2 linked regions of the Arabidopsis thaliana genome follow. The protein of the gene in region 1 purifies or fractionates together with the protein of each later gene. This does not show direct contact. Each region holds a gene or a part of one and is shown on either strand. Other genes may lie near its edges.

Evidence for each region.
Region 2: the proteins of PBF1 (region 1) and RPT3 purify together in Arabidopsis thaliana (affinity purification with western blotting; 2 studies listed by BioGRID, with this or other methods). This does not show direct contact.

What each region holds. Positions count from the first base shown.
Region 1 is NC_003074.8:22,466,785-22,482,813, forward strand, and holds PBF1 (N-terminal nucleophile aminohydrolases (Ntn hydrolases) superfamily protein), read right to left. Parts: upstream 7,156-16,029; 5' UTR 7,026-7,155; coding exon 6,979-7,025; intron 6,845-6,978; coding exon 6,737-6,844; intron 6,265-6,736; coding exon 6,183-6,264; intron 6,075-6,182; coding exon 5,945-6,074; intron 5,860-5,944; coding exon 5,717-5,859; intron 5,618-5,716; coding exon 5,531-5,617; coding exon of another isoform or gene 5,527-5,530; intron 5,329-5,526; coding exon 5,254-5,328; 3' UTR 4,985-5,253; downstream 1-4,984. Other genes in the region: AT3G60790 (F-box family protein), read left to right, coding at 1-164; AT3G60800 (DHHC-type zinc finger family protein), read right to left, coding at 702-821, 949-1,014, 1,301-1,386, 1,480-1,603, 1,708-1,799, 1,889-2,114, 2,280-2,489; AT3G60810 (DUF1499 family protein), read left to right, coding at 3,795-3,931, 4,016-4,072, 4,153-4,275, 4,365-4,431, 4,539-4,631, 4,711-4,824, 4,919-4,972; ARP7 (actin-related protein 7), read left to right, coding at 7,514-7,816, 8,019-8,160, 8,409-8,650, 8,727-8,910, 8,996-9,216; MAP65-4 (microtubule-associated protein 65-4), read right to left, coding at 10,789-11,132, 11,222-11,477, 11,565-11,639, 11,724-11,797, 11,893-11,980, 12,058-12,209, 12,340-12,499, 12,609-12,764 and 4 more; AT3G60850 (uncharacterized protein), read left to right, coding at 15,269-16,029. UniProt on the Arabidopsis thaliana protein: Non-catalytic component of the proteasome, a multicatalytic proteinase complex which is characterized by its ability to cleave peptides with Arg, Phe, Tyr, Leu, and Glu adjacent to the leaving group at neutral or slightly basic pH.
Region 2 is NC_003076.8:23,564,041-23,574,034, reverse strand, and holds RPT3 (regulatory particle triple-A ATPase 3), read right to left. Parts: upstream 4,984-9,994; 5' UTR 4,881-4,983; coding exon 4,416-4,880; intron 4,311-4,415; coding exon 4,080-4,310; intron 3,998-4,079; coding exon 3,839-3,997; intron 3,739-3,838; coding exon 3,586-3,738; intron 3,461-3,585; coding exon 3,377-3,460; intron 3,054-3,376; coding exon 2,919-3,053; 3' UTR 2,181-2,918; downstream 1-2,180. Other genes in the region: AT5G58300 (Leucine-rich repeat protein kinase family protein), read right to left, coding at 1-1,214; AT5G58280 (AP2/B3-like transcriptional factor family protein), read right to left, coding at 5,365-5,553, 5,640-5,846, 5,942-6,101, 6,175-6,239, 6,320-6,418, 6,497-6,697; ABCB25 (ABC transporter of the mitochondrion 3), read right to left, coding at 6,995-7,135, 7,215-7,350, 7,445-7,509, 7,845-7,937, 8,016-8,081, 8,330-8,410, 8,552-8,607, 8,704-8,792 and 4 more. UniProt on the Arabidopsis thaliana protein: The 26S proteasome is involved in the ATP-dependent degradation of ubiquitinated proteins. The regulatory (or ATPase) complex confers ATP dependency and substrate specificity to the 26S complex.

The sequences.
Region 1 (16,029 bases):
TTGCATTAGCGTCACGTTTTGTGACACAAGGAACAGTGACTGAAAAGTTGATGATAAAGACATCGACGTATCCTCCAGTGAAGCAATTAATGACAGAAGCAAAAGTGGCCAAGCTAATGGAACTTCCTAAAGGTTACGAGTATTTGGACATTGAATGCTTTTGATGATGGTTTTGGTTCGAATCTATCCATTGGTACTCTTTCCTTTATTACTCTGAGGATTATATGGTTTTAAATTTCAACAACTGTGTTTTTTTGGGTATTTGTTCTCTATTTTTAATGTGACATTTGGATATGTATTGGTTTGGATATTATTTGAGGTTTTTGTTTTGGTCAAATGGGATTATGTTATAATTGCATAACAAAACCATATTGGGTAAAAGCTGATTCAAACAAAAGAGTCAAGAGGATTTAGGGTAAATCATGTGTGTTCTACATTTATAATAAGATCATATCTATATATGAACTATTGAAGATGATGAACATATATGTGGCCAACAAAGCTAAATTGTAATCATCCTCTTTTCAAAACCCACAAATTTGATGATGACTTAGCCTTCCATGGGAAGACATCTACACTGCCTAAAGTGAAGCATCCATCTTCATGTTAGTAGATTTCTCCTTGACATGCCACTTGCTCTGTTTTTCTACGTATTGCTGTTTTACATGGGATGATGATGATGATCAAAGTCTTCTTGAGCATCACTGGGAATCAAAGTCGGGTTTCGAAGGGTATTCAAGTCCCTGCAGCTCCGGCATTCGCCTTAGATCTTCTTCTGTGTATCCTGGGATTAACCAGTATCTCTTATCCATTCCAAATACCTAAACACGATGAATCCCCAAAAAAGAAAGCCATAGCAGTGAGGGAGAAGAGAAAGCAACTTAAAAACTTTGAAGTGCTACATTCAGATGGAAGAAGAAACTAAGCCAATGACTTTAACTAGCTAACCTGTTCAAAGTTTTTCTTTTTACCGAGGTCATACCGCCATTTTGTAGTGGTTTTCTTCTCATATGCCTGTTACAACTCAACACCAAGAAAGTTTCATGAGAAAGAGTAAAGAGTCTAAAGACCTAAATTCTCATTTGAGCAAAGGAAAGCTCAAAGCAGCAATGGGATGCACCTCAAAGTGTAAGGAGTTGAAAGATCCAAAAATCTCATTTAAGCAAAAGTTCAAAGCCTTAGCCATGAGATGCACCAAAACTCTAAAGATCCAAATTCTCGTTTATGAAAAAGGAGCTTCTAGCTTTGGCCACGGGAAACTTTATAGGTTCAAGTCAAAAGAAAAAGGAAAAGGAATTACCTCTATAGTTGTGGTATTGCCAGCTACCAAGGAAATATGCATAATTAAGAAACCCATCACGCTCAACGCAAATGCCAAGTTCAAAACTGTTGTACGATGAAACAAGGTGAGAATGATTAATAAATGAAACCAAGTTACACACTACATACCATATATAGTATAAGGAAGTAGGAACATACCAAATGCAAGAAAAGTAGTAGCAAGAGTGCCTGGGGTTCCAGGTATTTCTTCATCACTAAAGAATGCAATGAAGTGCGGCATAAGAACCAAAGTCACAAGGGTCGTCTCTAAAAATGTGTAGAACTGCATATGAACATAAGAAAAACACACACAAGTTATGACAAGAGGACCAGATTACAAGCTGAAGAAGATTCTATAACATTAGTAGTGGTAGAAAACAAACTTACCAAGAAAAGAAGAAAATACTTATAGTTCAGTGCTCCTACACAGTTAACAACCCAAACACAATGGTGATCCATCTTCAACACACACCGACCACCTATATTGGAATCAACCTCACAACAATTCAGTTTCAAGACTCTTAAGTATACATGGTAAGAAAAGAAAAGAGAAACTGAGGAAGCTTACAAACAGAACAATGATGACAACGAGAAGGTTTTAGTTGATTGCACTTCCGACAAAACCGAACTCTTGGGTTTGAAGAAGAAGAATCGGATTGTAAACCAACAAAGTCCAAACTATTTAACGGATCAGATTCACCTCTTTCTTCATCAGTAGATGGTCTCCAATTAGGAGGCACAACACCAGGATCAGTAAAAACCACTGAGAAATAGCTCCACAAAAGCATTGCCAGCTGCACCAAGATAAAAACACATCCTTGTCTAAATTCACAAAACTTCAATCTAAAACAGAACAAGACTTCACATCTAAAGCAATAAAAAAGGACCAAACTTTATTGACAGAATTGAGTAAAGCACAAAGCTTTAGTATTTTGAATTGGGGAAGATGATTGACTTACGAGGAAATGGAAGAGGATTAAGATAGTGAGAGCAGCAAGAGAATCAAGGCCACCTTGAGAGAGTGCAGGACCATAATTAGTCAAAACGACAGCGTAATAAGTAACACCGACAACACCAAGAACCAAAAGGATCATGATCGATCCAAGACCTCGTAAGGCAGTACAGAACTTGAATACGTTCCACGCCATTGTTGTACCAGATCTATGCATAGTCAAAAGCAACGATCGAAAGAAAACCTTTCTGGATCTTCCTTCCGGAGTAAAAGGAAAGACGCGTAGTCAAGGCCAAGGAAGAAATGAAATAAGTGTTTCTGGGGAGATTTCGAAGAGGTCTTAGGGTTTCTTTAAATCTGGAAACAAAATCAAAACAAGGGGTTTAAGGAATAATAATATGAGAGTGCTAAATTGTAAGATGCAGAGACCCCATGAAGGAGGAATGATGCGGAGCTTGAGGAATGAGACTTTTTCTCCTTCTTGGATTCGTTTTCCTCTTTTGGAGCTAACAAGAAATTTCAGACGAAACACTTTTAACTTTAGATTTGTAATTTAATGACTTTTAGTCAATCAATCTTTCAGAAGCCCAAACTCAAACTGTGTAAATAATATGTATTTTTTACTACTAGCGTCAGAAAATGTTACATTTCGGTAATTTCCCCGGTTGATTCAAAGCAACCCAAGCATCTTGCGGTGAACATACTTTACATCTTGAAAATTCCAAATTTTTGTTTTAACCTTGGTTTTGGAAGATTATAATATAATCGGAAAAATTAATTGAGAAATTGATTCATAAGCATTTTTATGCTTCGTGTGGATAAATTAGAATCTCATAATACCAATTACAACAAAATGATGGTGAACATATACAATGAATTTGATATAAAAAAAATTTTCGTTTCATGGTCGAACGGTGAATAGTCGAAGATGATGAATTTTTTATTAATCTTAAAATCATAATAAATAATAAAGTAATGTAAATTTAAATTAAGGTTTAAAATGTTAGCAAAATTATATTAGTGGTTTATAATGTTAGTGGAATTCTTTAGAGGTTTAAAATGTTACCAACTGACATTTTGAAGGTTTTTTTTTTGTAACCCTGGTATGATGATTTTATTTCTCAAAGGACTTGACACTTGACTAGTGAAGGAAAAAACAAAAATGAAAAAAAATAATAACAAATCGCCCACCGTGGGGCTCGAACCCACGACCACAAGGTTAAGAGCCTTGCGCTCTACCAACTGAGCTAGACGGGCTTCTTGAAAATATTTCTACATTACGCTATTAATTAACTTGGTGTACCTATTAACAACATTTTACAGCTATCATAAAAAAAAAAAAATCCTATCATATCAGTTTGGTAGTTATATGTGGGTTTTCTGTTATTGGGCTCCTGAACGAACGAGTAAAACTCCAATGGGCCAATAATAGATTGATAGTAGTAAGCCCTGTAAGAAGTAACAAACTTCTTCTTCTTCTTCTCTTACTCCAAAGAGTAAAGAGAAATCCGAGCTAGTGAAGATGGCTTCCATGGCGTCACCGACCACTTGCTTGTACCACCACAAATGCCGGAGAAAACTTGTTTTCTATGCCCGTCGTATCAGTGCCTCGATTCCAGAGACTTCATATGACAAACATCCGAAGCTAATTGGTCGAAGGTACTAGTCTCTTTCTCTCCTGCTTGTGCTCGTGTTTATCACCGAACCAAGTATCTGATTTTGAGATCTTTGTGAAATTGGAAGAGATATCATTCTTAGGAGCAGTGAATTAGCTATGATCGGAGCCATATTCCAGCTTAGGTATGTTTTCTTCACCGGAATTCTACATCCCCACGGCTGAGGTGTTATTATGATGATGAAATATTTGTGAGTGGTTTTAGTGGGAAAAAACCAGATTATCTAGGAGTACAAAAGAACGAGAGATTGGCTCTATGTCCTGCCACTAATAACTGTATCTCCACTTCTGAGAATATCAGTGATCGAGTGCATTATGCTCCACCATGGTAATTCAAGAGCTTTTTGTGTTCAGATTTGGGTCTTCTGGTTTGAAATGTTTGATCATCAAACACTGTCTTGTTGTCCTGGTGGGCAGGAACTATAATGGAGGAAGGAAAACACCTGTGAACAGGCAAGTTGCAATGAAAGAGCTTCTTAATGTGGTACAATCCTTAAACATGAACTGCAATCTCAAGATATGAATCCAGTCACCATTTGAAGTTCTTGTAATCTTCCAGTAGTTACAGCGGTTTTATCACCATTGTTGCAGATTAAGTCGGTGAAACCGGATAAATTTACACCGCGGATTGTGGAGAAGAAGGATGACTACGTTCATGTGGAATATGAAAGTCCAATCTTGGGGGTAAGTTAAGTAAGCTTTATGTTGCTCTCTCAACCTCCATACCTCAATATATTGGACAAGACCCTTTGGTTTTTGACAGTTAGTAGACGATGTTGAATTCTTGTTCACTCCTGGGAAGAACTCGAAAGTGGAATATCGATCTGCATCCCGTAAAGGGAACTTCGACTTTGATGTCAATAGAAAGCGAATAAAGGTAACAACTCGGATACTCAAGTGATATATCTCTGTTATTGCCACTGGCTAATAGATAATATGCTCACACTTTTCTTCATTTTTTACCTATGGAGGCATTGCGACAAGAGCTAGAGAAGAAGGGATGGGTATCAGAGAACAGCTTCTGAAGAAAAGAGTTTCCAGATTCTATTCTTGTCTATTAAATATCTTAATGTGATCTATGTAAAAACATTGCCATAAATAGTGAGAGAAACATTGATTTAAGACAAGGATTCGAGTGATTCTCATACATAAGGAAACAGTTTTGGAGAAACTTCAAACACGAGTCATGATTTTAACTGTAAAATATCAAACCCAGTAGCATTTCATACGAGTTCTACAACTCAGGAAGCTCGATGTTGAAGTGAAATAACAAACCGATAAGGTTGGCTAAATGCACTAAAGGAGCTTAGTCTTTCCTCAGGTCCATGAGTTCGGTCTTGATACCGTCGGCCTTAAGTATCATAATCTCAAGCTTGTCTCCCTATTACAGTAAACAATCCACAAAGCATTAGTTAGAGAAAAAAACTTGAGGAAGATGAAGTAGTTGTGCAACGTAAGGGATATAGATTAAGTAAATGTTTTGGTAATATTTTGAAGACTTGAACCAAATGCAAATGATATGAGCACAAAGGCAAGCTTTAGGTGGCGTGGTGACAAAAGAAGACACAAATAGGACAACTTACAGTGTAGATATCCCTCTCTGTGGCAGATGCGAAAACAGTTTTAACCAAGTCAACTGCTTCAGCTTCGGAAAGGGGCGTGTTTGAATCCTACATGGTGGCAGAAGACGAACAAATAAGCAACAGAACGATTCATTTTATCTTTACAATGCGAAACGCCAAAAGCACGAATGAAGAATATCAACAAACCTGTTTAGGTAGCAAAAGAGGACTTGGAGACTTGAGCTGATTGTCAAGGAAAGGCATGATGAGTGTGGAACCAGAACCTTGAGCACCGTATCCAACTCTCTCGTATGAGCCAACAGCGTCGTAAGTAAAGACACACCCTTTTCCTGGATATATTCAAGACTAAAGATCACACAAAGTACCCTCTTCTAAAGTCACATCATAACGGAGAAAAAAAGAGGAGCATTTTACCTTCCTCGTCAAGCCCTCCTAGAACATTAAAGGCATAGTAGGGGAAAAACCGCTTGAAATAAAGCGTGTTGGAGAGAAGCTGGGCCATTGCAGGACAGCTCATCTGCTTGTTATGCTGATGTTGATAGATCTGAAGGAAACCAAACACAGAGAAAACACTCTTACACAAGTCTTTCATCATTTTCTAATACTGCGAAGGATGAAAGATAATTGATCAAACGACCAAAGTTTAACTCACCAAGTGTCTGGATTTGAGAACCTTCTGCAAAGCTTTCACATCAGCCTGGAAGCCAGAGGAAGACAAAACAGCTCTGTCCGCTCTGGAAAAGTTAAAAGAAGACAACAGCTTAACAAGAGTCTTACAAGTTACATAAGATGAAAAACACGAGAATTCTATCTATTTCCATACGAATGAATACTTGTGGTATATAAGATCAACAACACAGTAACAAACACTCTTTACGTAAGGTTGAACAAACTCAAAGAACTACACACATTGTCAATAAACGTTATAAGAAAACGAATAAGCTAAGCAATAAACCGGATTATAGAATGATCAATGTAATCACAAAGTTTATATAGAGATAATTGTAACCACTATCAAAAGCCATGTCTAATAATAATTAAGAAACCTATTTTATCTCCACCCATATATAACTGGTTTCACCCAGATCTACGAATTACGATTGCAAAAAAACCCTAATAATCTACAGCAATAATAGTTCGATTGCCAGCATGGAATCACTCTCCCAAAGAATCAACAGTGAGAGAAGAAAGAGAATGGGTACTTACAGTTTATGGATTTTGGAGTAATCGCGACTAAGAATACTGTAACCAGTAGACATCCGAGTATCGGCGGCGATAACACAGTAATCCGATCCAGCGATGGCCACACATGTTCTGAAAAACACACAACGATTAAATTCACAGTAAGTGAATCGTAACACAATCGCCCAGATAGCAAATCAGAATAAAGAAGAAAGACACTAAGCGAAGAAACCCAGCAGGTTGATTAAAGGTCACACGATCCGTACCCTCCATTGTTATCGTAAGGAGACCAGTTCGCGTGCTGTTTAGTCATGGCGGATTTGAGAGAGAAAGCTTTGAGCTAGGGCTTAGAAGAATGAAAAATGGCAGACGAAGCTTTCCGGGTTTGTGTTTTGATGTCAAAGAAACTTCCGAATCGGATCTTATTAGCTCTGGCTTTGTTAACAAGAAAAAGACGGAGACTCAAAACAATACCGTTTTGGACGTGGAAATTACGGGCTGTAATAGGCTTTATAATGGGCCTTATTTGGGCTTTGAATTCCAAAGAAATAATCTTTCTTTTCTTTTCTTCTTCTTCTTCGTCTTCGATTTTCTCTCTCAACGCAAACTCGTAAGCTGCTTCCATTTTCCCTTCTAGACCATTGATTTGTTCTTCGAAAAAACCGTTCTTTCTTTTGCCTCTCACTCTAGTTCCTTCTCTCATTTCTACTTCTCTAGCTTCACTGACTTGCTGCTACCACTAAATCTTGGCATTTGTGGAAAGTTGGGAATTTAGGGTTTTTGGGTGTGTGTGTGAAAACAATGGAAGCACTAGTTGTTGATGCTGGCTCTAAGTTCCTGAAAGCAGGAGCAGCAATTCCTGACCAGTCTCCTGCAATGATAATTCCCTCTCAAATGAAACGAATGGTTGATGATGGGTCTTCTTCAGCTGATAACCCCACCACTGTCTTTGAGGATGTCACTCTTGATCCTATTGAAAGGGGTTTGATTAGAGATTGGGATGCTATGGAAGATCTGTTGCGTTATGTTGTCTACACTGGGCTTGGATGGGAAGAGGGAAACGAAGGCAATATACTTTTTACAGATCCACTTTGTACTCCTAAGGTTCTTATCTCCAAATTTCCTCCTTTGTTCTTAATTTAAAAGATTACAACTTTGAGTCTCTTTTCAATTCCCATAATCCTGTTCTGTTGGATTATGAAAAGGAACAATTTTGTTCTTTTAGTACCTCATTTTAGATAGTAAGACGTTGTTATTTTTAATGTTTCGACCTGATTTGGCTCTGCAAATGTTTGTTTGTGGACAGGCTATTAGGGAGCAATTGGTGCAGTTGATGTTTGAAACATTCAATGTCTCTGGATTTTATGCATCTGAGCAAGCAGTGTTGTCCCTTTATGCTGTTGGACGCATCTCCGGTTGCACTGTTGATATTGGTCATGGGAAGATAGGTATTATAACTTGCTTGGCCTTTGTTACTCTTTGTGTCTTTCACTTTGTCATAAACTCATAATTCCATGTTTTATGTGAGTTATGATGTTACATGAGATGCTGATTCCCTATACTAACCTTTTTCCATGATCTTAAACGTTTTGTTAAACCAATTTTTTTTGGATTCTTCTTGTGTTTATAGCTGGATATGATCAGGATGTTGTTATGTCTGATGTTTTAACTTTGTGGTTGATCCAACTCTTTTCAGATATTGCCCCAGTTCTTGAAGGTGCAGTACAACACATTGCCTCGAAACGGTTTGAGCTAGGTGGAACCGAGCTAACTAAATTATTTGCCCAAGAGCTTGGAAAAACCAACCCGTCGATGAATCTCAGCATGTCTGATGTTGAAAAACTCAAGGAGCAGTATGCAAACTGTGCCGAGGACGAAATTGCTTACAAAAAAACCCAAAACTGTGAAATCGAGCAGCATACTCTTCCTGATGGACAGGTTTGTGTGAAATCAAGATTCTACATTTTGTGTTGTTACCTTATACATATAGATAACAAAACCAATGGCCTTATAGGTGATAAGCATCGGGCGAGAGAGATACTCGGTTGGAGAAGCTCTGTTTCAGCCATCAATACTGGGACTGGAGGAGCATGGAATCGTTGAGCAGCTTGTCCGGATTATCTCCACAGTGTCATCTGAGAACCATAGGCAGCTCTTGGAGAACACTGTACTTTGTGGTGGTACAACCTCCATGACAGGTACTAACAACACTTGATATCATAGTGTGTTTGAATATCTTTTGGGTCGGAAAACTGAAGGGTTTGTTGGAATGGTCGATGGCAGGATTCGAAAGTAGATTCCAGAAAGAAGCAAACTTGTGCTCATCTGCCATTAGGCCAACACTGGTGAAACCGCCAGAATATATGCCGGAGAATTTGGGGATGTATTCGGCTTGGGTTGGAGGAGCCATACTAGCTAAAGTGGTGTTTCCGCAGAATCAGCACGTTACTAAAGCAGATTATGACGAGACTGGACCATCAGTGGTTCACAGGAAATGTTTCTGAAACCATAGACTATAAAACGATGTTGTTGTTGTAGCTGAGGATTTTTTTTTTGGTTGGCTTTGGTTTGAAGATGTGGACCAGATTATGTAGTACATTTCAAATTATGGCTTCCAAATATCGACTAATATGTGTTCAATGAGCCCTTTTCTGAAAACATTGACAAGGTAACTTTGCCAATGCCAACACACACCCATTGTCAGTGGAACTCTAAATGGTTTTGCAGATATGTAACCAGTGAAACTCTTGGTTTTGATGCAGAGAATGGCCAAGATCCTCTTTTTCATTTTGTTTTGAGATCTTTAGTACTTGTACAATCAAATAACACAGTCCCTTTTTGTTTTGTTGGTGTTGTTTGCTGAAATTCGAGAAGGAAAGGGTCAGTGTTAATGTCTAAACAGAATTCAATTTTTTTTATTTTGTAAATTGGTTGCCTCTTTACCTTGTTACTTGTTGTTAGCTTATCTCATCCCTTCTCTCATCTATATAATCGGAAAAGTTTTTAATTAGTGAAATTTAAAATGGAAAGATAATTAGTAGATTTTCTTTGACTTTCTTGATTTTTTTTTCATAATTAAAAAAAAACTATTAATTCTTGAAATTTTGCACGCAACCCGTTAGATTCTAAATTGGTGACGTATATAAACTCAGAAGAAGTAGTAGTACCTTCTTTCACAAGACTCATTTTTTAACGTTCAAGAACAGAAACAAAATTCACTCACTTATAAGGTCTGTGACCACCAGAATAGTAACCATCTGTTGACGTCACAAGTAAAGGAAACCACCCAATCTCACTGTATTAAACGCATCTCTCGAAAATGTTCCCAAACGAATCAATGTTAACCACCTAAAGATACGGTGTTGTTGAAACAACTCTTTTGTTAGTATGTGTTAGTTTAGTACAATAAAACCTTTATAAATTAATAATGTTGGGACAAAGATATTTTATTAATTTAGAGAGATATTAATTTATTAATTTATAAAGAGAATTTTTGGTTTTCAGATTTTTGAAACTTTTCTATATGTAAAAATAAGGAGTTTTGTTATAATTCTATGATTTCAAAATTTCACTTCATAATTTTTTTGATGCGATTTGATGCGATTTGAAAAGACAACCCCAGAAGTTTTTAATGCAGTAAGGAAGATTAGAGATGAACTCCAAAAAAGTTGAAGAATAAGCAAACAACAATATAATCATATTTCACTAAATTTTCTTAAATATATATATATATATATATATATATATATTATAGAATTATTAATTTATGATATTGATGAGACTATATTTTACTTAAGATTTTCAAAAAAAATATTATCTTATTAATTTATCGATTTGTGTTGTTTTTTATAGTAGTTCCAACTCGGACCGGAAGAATTTATTAATTTATAGAGGTTATTAATTTATCGAGTATTAATTTATAGTGTATGTGTGAATAGACACAAAAGGGAAGAAACCAGTTTTCTTTCACTTGTCTCATCAAACGAAGTATCTGACTTGAAATTTCTAGAAAAAGCAGTAAATCGGATACATGGTGTAGCAGCTTTCTAAAGAGAGGAGACCAGTTTTTTCACGGTTTAGCAAAAACCGGCCCTAACCTCTTCAAACGAATACTCAACAATAACGTCTTCCTCATCCATTCTCTTCTCCACAGCAGGAGTGAACGGCGTTGTTGCCTCTGTCATAGCGACTGAAGCTGCAGGAGTTGTTGGAACAGCTCTTTTCTTTTCTTCGTTGGTTTTAGGTGTCAAGATTCTCTCCTTTGTTGTGTAAGCATCCTTGTGATGATCTTCTGGGGAATTCAAGATATTGGAAGTGACAGGTGAAAGAGGCTTCCTAAGCATTGGAGATCTCGCAGCTTTTCCTGCAACCGGAACGTTCTTTGATCTGATACGACCAGGAAGCTCTGAGTTTCTCCTCCCTACACATATTGACATAATTCTCTTAACACAAATCTCTCTCTTGGTCTCTGTTAAGTGTAAACCAAAATCTTGTGTTATTATTATGTACCTGAAAGAGTTGGAAGAGCTGAATCTCTTCTACTAGTAGCGTTCTGGTCATAGTACTTCGTCCTTTTGCTATTGAGTGTTGCCTTCTCATGCTTTAAGCTTTGATGAAGCATGGCACCACCAAGGGAGAGTTTTCTGTTCATGGCAGCATTTACTGGTGTTCTCAGTGGTTTCTTTCCGCTTTTATTTGGGCTTGGTTTAGACCCATAAAGAGCTTCTTGCTCTGTTATGAGTTGTCCATGAAGTTTCTTCATATCCTGAGATGAAAGTAACAATGTCAAATTGCCAATGATGCTTTTGGCTCATAGTGACCTTGGTTCCTAGTAAAAAACAGTTTTCCTTACTCTCTGTCTCTGTTTTTCATGCTCTTTCTCTTCCCATACAGTCTTGTACTGACCAAGCATCGATAAGACTCGGACCTGAAATATTTACGTGCTTTTGTGTAAAGATGCTGATTTGATAATTGTGTAGAACAGATCATTGATCAGTAAAAAACCACTTACCCCATCATATAAGAATTCATTTCCTCTTTCATTCTCCCAAGCAGTGACTTTGGCGGTCAAAGCTTCCACCATCCCTGCATCAATAGCAGCAGAAAGCAATAGACAAAAAAGATCATAAGTTATGAGTTTGTAGGTTTTTGTAATATAATCTAAAGAGCAAGAATGTTACCAGGAAGTTTATTGACAAGTAAACGGGCTTTTTCTGCACGCTTCAATGTAAGATGAGCTCCTCTTCCAGCGTTGTACCGGTTATCATCCTGCGAAGCCAACGATGTGAGAACAAAACAAAAAAAAGATTGAGGCAAAGGAATAGATTTAGATTTAAATGTCTAACCCGATTGTACTCTTCCAGCCAAGACTCTTCTTCACAAGCTGACATCCATTTCTCCACTTTTTCAAGAATCTCCTTCCTGCTTGAAGCTTCCTCTTTGACCTTTGCAATCTCGGAATCAATTTGCTCTAACAACTGCTCAGGATCCTTGACACCTAAAAGATGAGTGGAAACATGTTATTATTAGCATGTTCATGTTATCTACCAGTATAATGAGCATAACATTTCTGGAGTTTGTGCACATCATATTATGTAAAGAATAAGCTGTTCCTAATAATGGTTTACCAGATTCTATAGCTTCAACTGAAAAGTTTTCTGATTTAAGAACTTCGGTGGCCATGTGCATCTTCCTTGATATTTCCTCAAGCTCAAGCCTCTTCCTCAGTATCACCTCTTTGATCTTAGTTATTTTGATCTTGCTAAGCCTAATGACTTCATCCTCAACCTGTAAAACAAACTCACATTATAAAAAAGATTGTTCCTATACTATTATAAACGGATAGACTAAACAATACAGGGAGAAAACACAGAAAGGTTTGGTCCTGTGCACTCACGCGTTTAATGGAAGCAACAGAAAGTATGTTGGCCTCAGTTATTTCAGACTCAGTCAAAGCGATGCTACATGTGACATTGTGAAATATCTTTTGCTCTTCCGCAGGCGTGTCCAGCAGATTCCAGAGCTCCAACAAGGACACTGCAAGATCTTGAACCTAGAAAAACAAAGTGATGAGAGTCAGAAACCATAATCACGCAGAAAAACTTGCACTACATTACAAAGAAGAGCTCAGACTTGTAACCTTCTGCATTCGCTGTAACTTGGCCTCTCGTAAATTCACAATCATCATATCCAACTTATCAAGAGTACTTCTGCTCACATCCCTAGTGTTGGAATCAACCAGAGATGAATGTATCCCTCTTATCATGCCTTTGAAATCTTCACCAAGAACCGAGCACAACGAGTTAAGCGTTTTCAGCAAACACTCTACCTCTTCCAATCTTTTGCTCTACATTTTGAAAAGAATTCAAAGTTAACATAAGGAAAACAGGTGCACATGCTCTTGTAATATAAGTCCCATATCATGAGATCTAACAGCAAAACCAACCTTTTCATTTTGGAGCTCACCCAACTGGCTACGCAATTCCTCCAACCTCTGAAGCGAAAGATCGGTCTCTTCAGCAGCAAACTTCTTCAGATAATCTGTTGGATTTCCAAGTTGCAGTGACAACTTCAGTAACTGATCGATAACTTCATTAAACCGAATCATTCTCTCAGCTTTCCTTTTGCGCAGTCCATCCAATTGCACATTAACATTCTCAAGCTCCTCTTTCAAGTTTTCTCCTAACCTGCTGTTAGACTGTAAGAAGAAAATGCACCATTACTTGCCATAACTCCAGCAGACAAAAACCAAATATATCAAAACTGAAGTCTTGAATACACTTACATGAATCTCTTGTCCACCCATAGAAGAGCCAATAGCTGCAATTTCTGCTCTGCCAACAGCGATTTCTTTCAGCAAATTCGCTTTACCCCGACTAGCCTCCTCGACCTTTCGCTTATAAACCGAGAGACACTCCTTCTCGATATCAGCCAAAGAAGCATCTTTTTCATCCTCAGTCTCTCCCATTTCATTCCATATTTCCTGATATCATCAAAATTGGTAAATTCCCAATTTTGAACATAAACAAAGAAAACGAGGATGTGAATCTTCTTCAAGAAAAGACCTGCAATTGGCGAAGTAACAATCCACATGTAGTCTCGATTCTCGAAAACTGCTCTGTTGAATTCCGTATCATGGTGATTAAAACCTATAGACAAAAATTCCCAATTATCAACATCACAGCTGAATTGTTTCGTGACTCCGATTCTCGATTACACAAATACCAAATTATTCGGAAACAGATACAGAATTTTCTCTGTTTTCTCCGCAGAGTTAAATTACAAAATCGCGATGACTCATGAAAAGTTCAAGAAGATTTTTAACATCTACAAGAGAAAAGAGCGAGAAATTAGAAACTACCTGGTTTGAGGATCAGCGCCAAGAAGAAGATGTTGTGAAGAATTGATCAAAGAGAGAGAGAGAGCAAAATTAGGGTTTATAAGTGTTGTGAGTATAACGGATGTGAAATTGAAATTTGAACAAGGAGCGGGAGGAGGGTCCGTTACGATCCGAGTCTCACGATTTATTTTGACGTGGAATCATCTGAGCCGTTGTATTAAATTCCTCTTTCCGTTTTTTGCTTTTCTCCTTTTTATTTGACGGACCAGATTTAGTAAGCAATAAAGCCTTGAATTTCGAAATGGATTTTTTTGAAATATAATTGGCTCCATAATGATATCTTAAATAAAATAAAAATGTAGGCCAGTTAAACAACTAAAATATATTTTCAAAAAGCACATAAATTATCAAAATCTTTTCATAGTAAAAAAAAAAAAAAAATGGATAATGACTGCATTGACATCTCTATTACTTTGACATTGATATACTCTTTGACTTTGAACTGATCCATGCATATGATAAGAGAATGTAAAGAATAAACGCAAAATAACTATTTTTGCAACTATAGAATGAGACTCTAATATTTTGTTTAGAACTTTTATTTCGTCAACAAAATGTTACAGTAACTACATTGCTTTTAAAGTTAAAACATGCGTTATCTGTAATCATAAAAGTATGATACATCGTTCAAATAAACTTAAATTTTGTGTAAAAAGTTTTAAAAACCTTTCAAACATTATGTAAAAAACAGAAGTGGACATAGTATATAGTCTATAGTTCAATCACAAAACTAATATAAATTTAACATTGGTTTTGGTCGTCTATAGTCTATACATATGGACAATGGTCATATTGGTTAACGTAAGTAAAATCATTAGTAATCACCACATCTATTGTAATCGTACAAACCAAATTGTTAATGATGATTGGGGAAGTGGATAAAGGACGACGAACCAAAGGCTTGTCTGAATTTCTTCTGGAAAGAGAAATTAAAACAAAACTAAAATATGTGGAGAGAGACAAATAAAATAATACCCCTGGGACTTATCAGTATTGTCAGAGCAAAGCCTGAGCTTCTTAATAATTGAAAATAAAATTAATTAAAACAAAACACATAAAAATTTCTGAAAAATCTCTCTCTCTCTCTCTTCATCGTCGCCGTCGTCTTCTCCGTCTCCTCCTCTCTGTCTCGCTGCTACTTCTTCTTCATCTTCCTGATGAATACTCACAAAACCGAAGAAGGTCTGTTCCACCATCATGATCTTGATCCGACGGCTGACATACTCGTTCAATCACCACCCTCCATTCTCCACCACCACCACGACCACAATTCCGAAGTCGATCCCGCGTTTTCTCTCCCGGAATTCATACTCTTCCGCTCTTCTCCTTCCGGAGATTCTCCCGGTCTCTCCTCAGACGAGCAAGACGATTCCCTTACCGGAAACCCCCAAATTGCTGATTCGTCAAATTCTAGGGTTTCGAGTGCAGGAAGAGATGGGCTTTTCATCAGCCCCGATCCTCATATCTCATCTCAGTTCTACACATTCAACGCAGCTTCTCACTCTCTCATGTGTCGCTGTCTCCGCGAGGGCCGTCTCGCTACTCCGGCGGAGATCCGTATCGCTACACCGAGGTCTGTCCTCAAGTCATGGCGCGCCGTTTGGAAGGATCGTAACGAGGAAACGGCTTACCTCACCGCCTGGAAACGGATCCAGGATAAGCTCACCTCTCGCCTCGACCCAGCCACCGGTAACGAATTTCTCTGCTTCAAGAATAATTCTCAGCAATTCGTCTCTCACATTAACCAGTGGCAAGATATAGTCATGGGGTTTCACGCTGATGGTGATTTGAAACACTTAGGCCAGAAAGAGACTATTGATAGGATTAAGCAAGTTTGGACTGTTGGTGCTAAGCTCTATGGAATTCCCGAGAGCTTTATTAGGGTTTGTGTAGCGGCGTGTCCTGTTTGCAATGCCGA
Region 2 (9,994 bases), on another chromosome or scaffold:
ATAATCTCCATCTGCTGTTCAAACTCCCTCTTTCCAGCTGCGACTTCTTTCAACCTTTTTACCACAACAGTTGTGGATTCCTCTAACACAGCCTTGTATGCTGTCCCATAGCTACCTTTTCCTAGTACTTCTGCTGATGCCCTCAACAAATCCTCTAGATCAAAGTTATAGGAGCATCCATTAAAGAATACCAGCTTATTCTTCTCAGGTTCTTGCACCCCACTTCCAAATTCTTGCTTTGCTTTCTCAGTCAAAGTCTTTACTTTTACGATGCTGTCTTCCCTCTTGTCCTTTTTCTTGATACAGCAGCATAATATAATTACGGTGATCAACAACAGCAGAGCAGCCCCTCCAGCTGCAATAGGAATGATAGTGCTTACATGTAGTTTCCTTTTTGAACCTTCTTTGTGAGGAAATGGCGGCAATGGAGGCGTGGAAATGTGTGGGGTTAGCGAAGGAGGGGGAGAGGAGGTGGCACAGGGTTGCAGAGGAAGTCCACATAACAATGTGTTTCCGGAAAAAGATGAACTGGGAAAGCCACCAAGTGCAGAGGGTATTGAACCATTAAGATGATTGTTGCTCAAGTTTAAACGTCTCAGACTTACTGTATCAAGATTAGGTACTGGTCCAGAAAGTTTGTTATTTTGGAGGCTCAACCCTGTCAATTGCTTCAGATTTTGGAACGTTGCTGGTATCTTCCCGGTGAAAGAGTTAAATGAGAGATCTAAGATATTGAGCTGTCGGGACACAAAGGAAGGAACCTCACCAGAGAAGTTGTTATGTTGGAGATAGATGTAATCTAGTGAAGGGAGAGAGTGAATGTCAGGAGGAAGGTTACCACTGAGGAGGTTTGATCTCAAACTGAGAATCCTGAGTGATTCTAGTTTACCAAGTGTGTTTGGAGGGATTGGTCCCAAGAGCCCAATTCCTGGAAGGCGAAGAGCGTGAACACTAGTACCATCAGAAGTGCAGGTGACGCCAACCCATGATTTGCAGATATGGTTAGTGGAATTCCAGTTGAGTCGTCTGAGATGAGGAACAGAAGCAGCAAATGCAAGAAGAGCTTGCCTATCCGAGTTCAGGTCGGCAATAGCATAAGAGCAGAAAGTAGTTGTGACAAACAAGAAAGAGACAAGACAAGTAGACAAGAACCCCTTTGACGGTCTCAAGGTAAATACTGGACCAACATAAAACTGGAAATGGAACTGCATCATCAGCTTGACTTCTTGACCCTGCTCCAAAAGAAAAGCAGAAGATGATAAGCAATGACTTCCACTACACAAGCCAGTATGCAGCAGCAAGGAAAGCTAAGCTAATCAGGTATCTCTAAGGAACTGGCCAAGCAAGCTTCATTTATTGGATCACAACATTGAAAGTTGATAACTAATATTCGGTTGTGAAAGAAAAAAGCATATCAGTTATATAAAAAACTACAGATGGGAAGAAAAAACAAATAAAGATACTAGTTAGATCTTCAAGAAAAAGTATGCCATTGCCTATCTTTATCTTTATCATTGGGAGATTAAACAATCCAAGAGGCTAAGATAAGAGATTGAAGCATCCAGCACAAAAAAAAAAGCAAAAGGAATAAAGCTAAAGAGCCAAACTTTAACACAAAACTTTGATGAGCAAAGAAAAGCAGACTCCTTTTGCCAAAAGATATTGTCACTAGAGAAAGAAGCAGAGGTCTGTCCATCATGTGGACAATGTCACTAAGTAAATAAAGATGAGTTTTGAGTGTCTGATTTTTATCGGAGTTGTTGAACAAACAACGTGTAGCCAGCGAATTGGAACTAATATACCACGTCACTAGCCTGTATCTAAAGTCTTGAAAGTTTCCTACCCACCTAGCCGGAGAAAATGGCGATTTTTAAGTATAATTCCCAACAATGAGAGACAGACAATTACAGAAAGTTAAAAGGAAAAATACAAAAACCAAAAAGAAGAAGAAGAGAGAAAGAGAACCTGGGAGTAGAGAGGTAAGCTAGCGAAGTAAGAAAATTGTGGGCACTGAAGAACTCAGCAATAGAGGAAGAAGAACTTATGCAGATGGAGCGCTCAGACCTCTGCACTCTACTGCATTGAGCGGACTATAACACAATCTTGAAATGGTGAAAGAGAAGAAAGAAGAAAAGGCAATGTATGTGGGGACTAGTGGAGAAGAAGAAGAAGAAGAAGAAGAAGAAGAAGAAGAAGAAGAAGAAAGAGAGAGAGAGTGTGGTGAAGTTAAACAAAAGAGGCGTATTCGTTAAGGGTAAGACAGTCTTCAAAAGGAGTCTTTAGATCAAATCATATTGGTGTGTAAACACCGCAACAAACGCTAATGTAGAGAGACCCAGAGACTGACCAAGCTTAAGATTCTTATGAGATAGCAAAATGACAAATACATGAAAACAAAAACCATCTTGATCCAAGTTGTTATTTTTAAAGTAATCATTTAGATATGGTAATAGTTCTTACCTGTCCAACCACTCTTGCTACTGTTTTCTCTTGATTTGCATCATTCTTGATTTGCGGATACTATGTAATAGTAATACTGGTCATTTCATCATCTATCACCAACTCCAAAACAAGATCCAACACATTTAGGCATTATTGAAGTCTGAAGTTTTCTATGAACATTGAGCAGTGCAGCGTGCTCCTAATATCATCACTATTTTTGTTGTCTTTTTAATCAGAGGAGACATAATTATTACCATGCTCTGGCAATTCTAAGGACACCATCCCCAGTTTTTCTTATACATTAAACTGTAAAAAGCTGATAGACTAAAAACAAATGTGAACTCGAGTTACAGAAATTAGGAGATGCAACTTAGTTCTTAATTTAACTGCAAATTTGATTCCATGTCCTTAATAATTCTCAAAACACACTGGAATTTTAACAACAGCCATAATCTGGTTCCACTTCTGCTTTCTCTTCACTTGTAAAACTCAAAGTCCGTGTCTGGCTTCTTAACATTTGCGCGGTAGCCCTTCTCGAAATCCTTAGGTAGTATCACATATCTGTTCTTTCGCACCGCATGCATACCAGCTTCCTGGCAAATTGCTGCTATCTGCATTGTTCAACATAAAATCAAAATAGTGTCATTAATAACTATCATCATTACATGCAATCTTTTTAGGAACAATTCCCATGTACATGATAAAATCAAACCATATTACTGCCAACAATTGATTTCTCAACAATTCAGTTCAGGACAATGATTAACAAACGACTCAGCTAACATTCATACATAATGCTTGAAACAGTATGATTATGCTCAAGTGCATATTTTGAAGAACATCATTAGGTGGTGACCCAGAAACACTGGAGGATATATCATGGTAAAAGTAAACTATAGCGGGAAGAATAGAATGGTAAGCAAAATAAACTAACCTCAGCAGCGCTAATTTTATCAGGCCGTGAAACATAGTCTTCCAAGTCAACCTCATCGCTAAGGTTCATTTTGGAGGTGCATACCTACACAAGGAAAAACCAATCAATAAGACAGAAACTAAGATATCAGTCAAAACTTTCTTTTGAGAAAACATTTGGTTTCATATCTCTTTAACTAGTTATTTAAGTGCTTGTAGTAATTAACTTACCTGGAAAACAAGCCTCTTTTGACGTCTATCAGGAAGGGGGAACTCAATCTTACGATCAAGTCTTCCAGGACGTAAGAGAGCAGGATCTAGAGTGTCTGCCCTGTTTGTTGCCATTATGACCTTGACATTCACGGTCTGGTCAAATCCATCCATCTACATCGAATTCAACACAATAAGTTAAGGACACAACTAAAATCCATTATTCTACAACATAAGATCTGAATTACAACTAAAATTCATTATTTGTTCTCACCTGATTAAGAAGCTCCATGAGAATACGCTGAACTTCCCTATCGGCTCCTGTTTGAGCATCAAACCTAGCAGTAGCGATGGCATCTACCTCATCAATGAAGATGATAGCTGGAGCATTTTCCTTGGCAAGACGGAAGACATCACGAACCATACGAGGTCCCTGCAATTAAAAAACCAGTTAGTCACCAAATAGAATCGCTCAATAGGACCTAAACCTTCAATAAAGCTATGATTTTTAATACCTCGCCGAGATACTTTTGCACAAACTCGGATCCAACAACCCTAATGAAGGCAGCAGTTGTGTGATTGGCAACAGCCTTAGCCAACATAGTCTTTCCAGTACCAGGAGGTCCATAGAGCAAGACTCCACGAGGTGGGTCAATACCAATCTGTTTGTAAAGCTCGTGGTGGGTAAGAGGCAATTCAACAGCCTCACGAATTTCCTGTTTCTGAATATCGCATCCTCCAATATCCTACACAAAAAGATAAAGCACCACATAAGAAACCAAAGATCGTTTCAAAAACCCTAACTTTAATTCAGAAAACAGAGTCGAGATTTGGAAAAAAGGAAACATTACATTGTAGGAGACGTCAGGCTTCTCAGATTGGCTGAGAAGGGAGATGCTAGAATCAGCCTCCGGAGGCAAAACATCAACAAGGGCGTTGGAGTGACGGTGAAGAGCGACGGAAGCAGAAGGCTTTAAGAGTTCTCTATTGATTGTGCTGAGAATTCTGACATAGTAATTGGAGCCAGTAGTAGATCCGACGATGCCGTTGTTCTGATCTACCATCTCCATGAACTGACCTATCACCAAAGGCACGGATTGAATTCGTTTGACCTCTTCTTGTGCTCGTAACAGCTCTCGTTTGAGATTCTTTTGCTCGTCTTTCACATATTCTTCTTGGATATCGGTGAACTCTAGTTGTCGTTCAAGCGATTTGAGGCGGCCATAGAGATCTTCTTCGTCTGCGGTGGATAGATCCATCAAGGCCGGTGATGCTTTAGGGTCAAGAACCATCGATGCAACAGCCGCGGAAGCCATTCTTTGAGAGATCTTTGAGGGTGGGGGAAGAGAAAAGTGAGATTGCTATGAAATTAAATAGACTTTTGCGAACCGAGATATCTTTGGAGTAGAGGAAAAGAAATGTTAATTTGTGAGCCGACTCATCTAAATAAAAGGAAAATAGATTAAATGGGCCTTTTGTCATAGTAAGGCCCAGTTTTGATATTTAATAGCCCGTTTACTCTCTCCATTTTAATTTGTTTATTTTGTGACGGAGTTGGTCTAAATGGTATCATCAGAAGTATATAGCTCATCATCGCCTAGTAACCAAAACTGAGAGGAAACAATTTAAATTTCCGAACCAAAGCCGCTCATCAGAGTTTCAGTTCTACTTTCAAATTGAAAAAAACAAAGTTTACCTTGGGTTGATAAACTTACAAATATGCCATTAGTATTAGTAGTATTAGCAGCCCACTCAAAAACCAAAAAAATATATGGGGCATGTAGACAAAAGAAAGCTCTCTTATGCTTTCCTCTTCCTTAGTAACCTTACGGATGATCTCTTAGTGGCTCTTGAGCTGTGTTCCTCATCACCTGATTCTTCAACATCCTTATCTTCTTCTTCTTCTTCTTCTTCACTTGGCGTCGTTGCTCTGCCTCTCTTTCTGGCGCTTGTAAGATTAGCGTTCTCATTTCCTTTAAACACATAGATCTGCACCAAGCAAACATTTTATAATCAACATGTGAGAATGTCAACTAACTCCAACCACATGACTCTTGTTCAAGACACATACATACCTTGAACTTCTTTGGTTCAACCAATTCAAAGAGTAGAGCATCACCATCATCCAATTTATGATCAAGAGCAAACCTTTTCCAACCACCACTGAGTCCAGCTCTTCTACCAATGTACACTGCTTCATACACTTCGCCTTCTTCATCCTCTAGTTCTATTTCCATAGTTTCCTCAGGAAAATTGTCTGCACAGAATCTTGAAGGAAGCCCCTTGAAATTTGCAAGCAAACCCATGTAGGTCAAGTAAGGTACTAACACGAAATCCTTGAAGAAGAAACACACACAAGTGTTGTGAACGAACGTACCAGCCAAAAGCAACTGTAAACATGGGAGCGAACCATAGATTTCACAAAGTAAGGATGTGGAGATTTAAGGCTCCTCTGGAACTTCTCTGCAGCCTTGAATGCTCCAACCTTTTCTTCATAAGATGCAAACTTGCACTCATGGAGAGGTCGAGAAATGTAGCTGATGAATTTTAACTAATTGATCAGATGAAAGGATAGTTTTTTAGGGCAAAATTGTGGAGCAGGGCACTTACGTCGCCCATGTAGAGCTATGTCGCGATCTCCTCAGATTCGAAGTACGACCAGTGTCTACGACGACCTGAAAAGAGACAAGGGATTGGGTTGATTGATTGCTGTGAAAAATCTATTACAGAAGTAAGAGAAAGCTGGGAAAATTACATCATCGCGATAGGAAGAAATTACGGTACGAACACGGGAAGAGCGTCTTGGTTCAGCAGTAGCTAAGAGGGCTTTATCGATGGGTTTGTGATTACGCTGCTGAAGAAGCTGAAATTGTGGTAAAGCTACAAAATTGGACTAGGAATGAAGCAGAAATGGAAGGAAAAAACACGAAACCTGAGGCGTTTTCTTTGTAATCTGAGTCAGAGTCTTAGAAATCTGGGAAATTCCTAAATCCTGAGATTCAATAATCAAAATTGATAAACGAATCAGAGAAGGAGGAGAAGAAGAAACGCGGTAACGATGAAGGGTAACTTGAAATCGCTTGTGATTCTCTTGAAGACGGAGCTTGCGAGCTTCCTCATAGGCCATGGCCATTGCAGAGTTTCCTAGGAGGAGAAAGAAATGGCGCTTCGTTTGAATTTCGAAATCACGGACTTCTTCTTGTTAATTAATTAATAACTAGTTGGGCCTATTTGGGCTTTAACTAATAAAATTGATCATTTTTTTATCGTAAGTTTACTTGCTCAACAAAAACTCGTGTTAAAATTATATCATTCACCACTATTTATTATTCCCTTTGTTTTGTGTTCTTTGGGACTCTATTAACTATATAAGCTCCATAGAAAATCAATGAGATAAATATAAATTTTACACATTTGGCTCTGAGGTTCACTATTCCAATTTGATAGCTGCATCAAGCATATCCACGCTGCTGTTTTGTTGTGTCCATAGCTGCGCATATCTCCCTGATTTTCCCAATAGCTCGTCGTGGGGGCCTTGTTCCACCACCTTCCCGTTTTCCAGTACTACGATCTGCCCGCAACCAAAAGTTTCAGTTATGCAAAAACATTGTTTCTTTGAGCTAAGTTGACAAACACTATTTACTACAAACCTCGTCACATTGCATCGCAGTGGTCAGCCTGTGGGCAATGAAGATAGATGTCCTGTTACTCGCTAGTGCCTTGAGTGCGTTCAGTATCTCTGCCTCTGTTGTGCTGTCCAGCGCACTCGTTGCCTCATCACACAACCTGTGTACACCAACCATCTCTATGTATGTGAGGACTAGACACGTACATAATCACATAAGTAAACTCAATGCTGCTTCTGTGCAAAGTTACTTACAGAATCGCAGGGGATTTCAAAAATGTCCGAGCAAGTGCCACTCTTTGTTTCTCTCCACCACTCAACTGCACACAACACCACTCCATGGTTATCACAATACAAAAACCCCATCAATATATGACTCTACTCAAACTCAGGATGGTCACTCATCAATGCTACTCTTTGCCATTATATAGAAAACCTCAATCAGTTAAATCTTTTATTTTTCATGATTGTTACAGTCCTGCGAAACTAGTTTATTAGATCATATTCTTCATCAAGTTTTCAACAGGTGAACTTTGACTTGGAAGCCTGATTGACTTAGCTTGTTTTACTTTGATTATGACAATGACAAAAACGACGGGTGACTAACTCCCCATAACTCAATCATGCATTCCAGATATAACATCAAAATACTGACCTTGAGCCCCCTTTCCCCAACGATCGTGGAATATTTATCAGGGAAATTACTGATTGTTTCATGAATTGCAGCACGCCGAGCAGCCTCATACACCTGGATTGAAAATTTATGTTAGATGAGGATTATTGATATTAAACTTGACATTTCCACCAAGTATAAGTTGACTGGTACCTCTTCTTCTGTAGCTGAGAGACGTCCATAATGTATGTTGTGAAATATTGTGTCATTGAAGAGAACCTGCAGTGCAGTAGAGATTACCCTTGAGAACAACAAAACTTGGAGTGCTATACCTTCACAAAAGCTAACAATGATACATATGAAAAATAAAAGAGAAGAAAAGTGAAAAAAAACATAAAAAAAATCAAGTGTCTAGCATGACCAGAGAAGTTACAATGAGAAGAAAGGCGAGAAACAAATGAATGCAGGTCATAGTGGTGTATATAACAAAAAGCCTCACGATGAGAAGTAGAGAAATGCCAACTTACAGTATCTTGCGGCACAACTCCTATGGAGCTTCGGAGGCTATCTAGTCTCACTTCCTTTATATCTTGCCCGTCAATCCTTATCTGTTAACCAACATGACAAAAAAGATGTTATCTAGATACCAAGCATTTTCTTCACTAAATTTCTCTGCAGCAGGGTGTACTTTCGTTGCTACAATGCTTCCAAACAAGACCCCACATTTCACAAACAAAAAAAATGCTTACATTTCCGGAATCTGTGTCGAAGAATCTGAATAGCATCCTAAGAATTGTTGACTTGCCTGCCATAGAACAAATAATAAGATTTGCAACAGTATACCAGAATAACAAATTTACACAGAACTTAGATGCTTAAACAGAAGAGGTTTAGGAATTACCGCTCCCGCTAGTACCAACGATTGCCACACTTTTTCCTGCCGGTACGACAAAGGAAATTCCATCTAATATTTTTCTCTCTGGAAGGTAACTGTAATTGTAGAAAAAGAGAAAGATGATGTGGCAATAGACATAAGTTATTAACCCCCTTCGTCTTCAGCCACAACATGAAGCTGATATCCAAATCATGCAATGTCTTATAATTTGCCACTTTGATAAGCTCAACAAAGCTAATTAGTAAAGACTTTCTGGGGTGTATTGAGTTCATAAGTTAAATAAAATTTGAGTTAATTACTCATATTAATCTTAACACACTTTCATACCCAAGATACTATGGCTCCAACGATTAGTATGACAGTAATGTTCCACTAAAATCAACACCTACCTGAAGTGTACATTTTCAAACTCAATGTTTCCACCTTTCAGTACAAGAGGCTTTGCGTCACTTGTATTTGTGATGTCAGATTTCTCCTGAAACAGTAAGAGAATACCACATAATCAATTCAACATGCCAGGAGTGCATACTAAAAAGCATGCATTTAAAGCATTATCATAAAAAAAAAAGTGTTTAAGAAACTTAACCAAATGCAGAGTTTAAAGAAACAATTATAACATCCTCACATACCTCTAGCAACTGGAACATTGATTTCATGTCCACAAGGCTCTGAATTGTTTCACGGTAAACACTACCCAAAAAATTTAGAGGAAGAGACAGCTGAAAGAGAAGTCCATTCACCATAACCTGCATCACCCAAATATGCAAAAGCTTATTAGAAAACAATTTGGATAAAAAATGCAGAGAAACATAAAATACCAATGTCAAGGAAAAATCAAAGGACGCACTGACCAAATCACCGACTGTCATCTGGCCATTCATGATACCCTGAGAGCACAACACCATTGCTGTTGATAAAGCTGTACTAAATATGATACTTTGTCCAAAGTTTAAGAAAGCAAGACTTCTTTGAGTTTGCAGGGCAGCATCTTCATATTCTGGGATAAGCAGCAGAATCGTCACAAGATAAATTAAGGTAAATGGACGGAGCAATAATATATTATGGTAAAATATCAATCGGTTTTCTTCCTAGAAAAAGAACGTGTAAATAAAGATGTAAAAAGAGTCATCAGCGCATTTTCTGATCTACATTTGTTACTTGTTGGCTTGTTGCTACTATTCTTGCTCAAACTAAAACTGGAGAATTTTCTCTTTTTTTTTGGAAATTAAGATAAATGTTTTCATCTAAACAGCTAGTAGAGTTACTTACTTTTCAGGAACTGGTCATACTTTTCAGC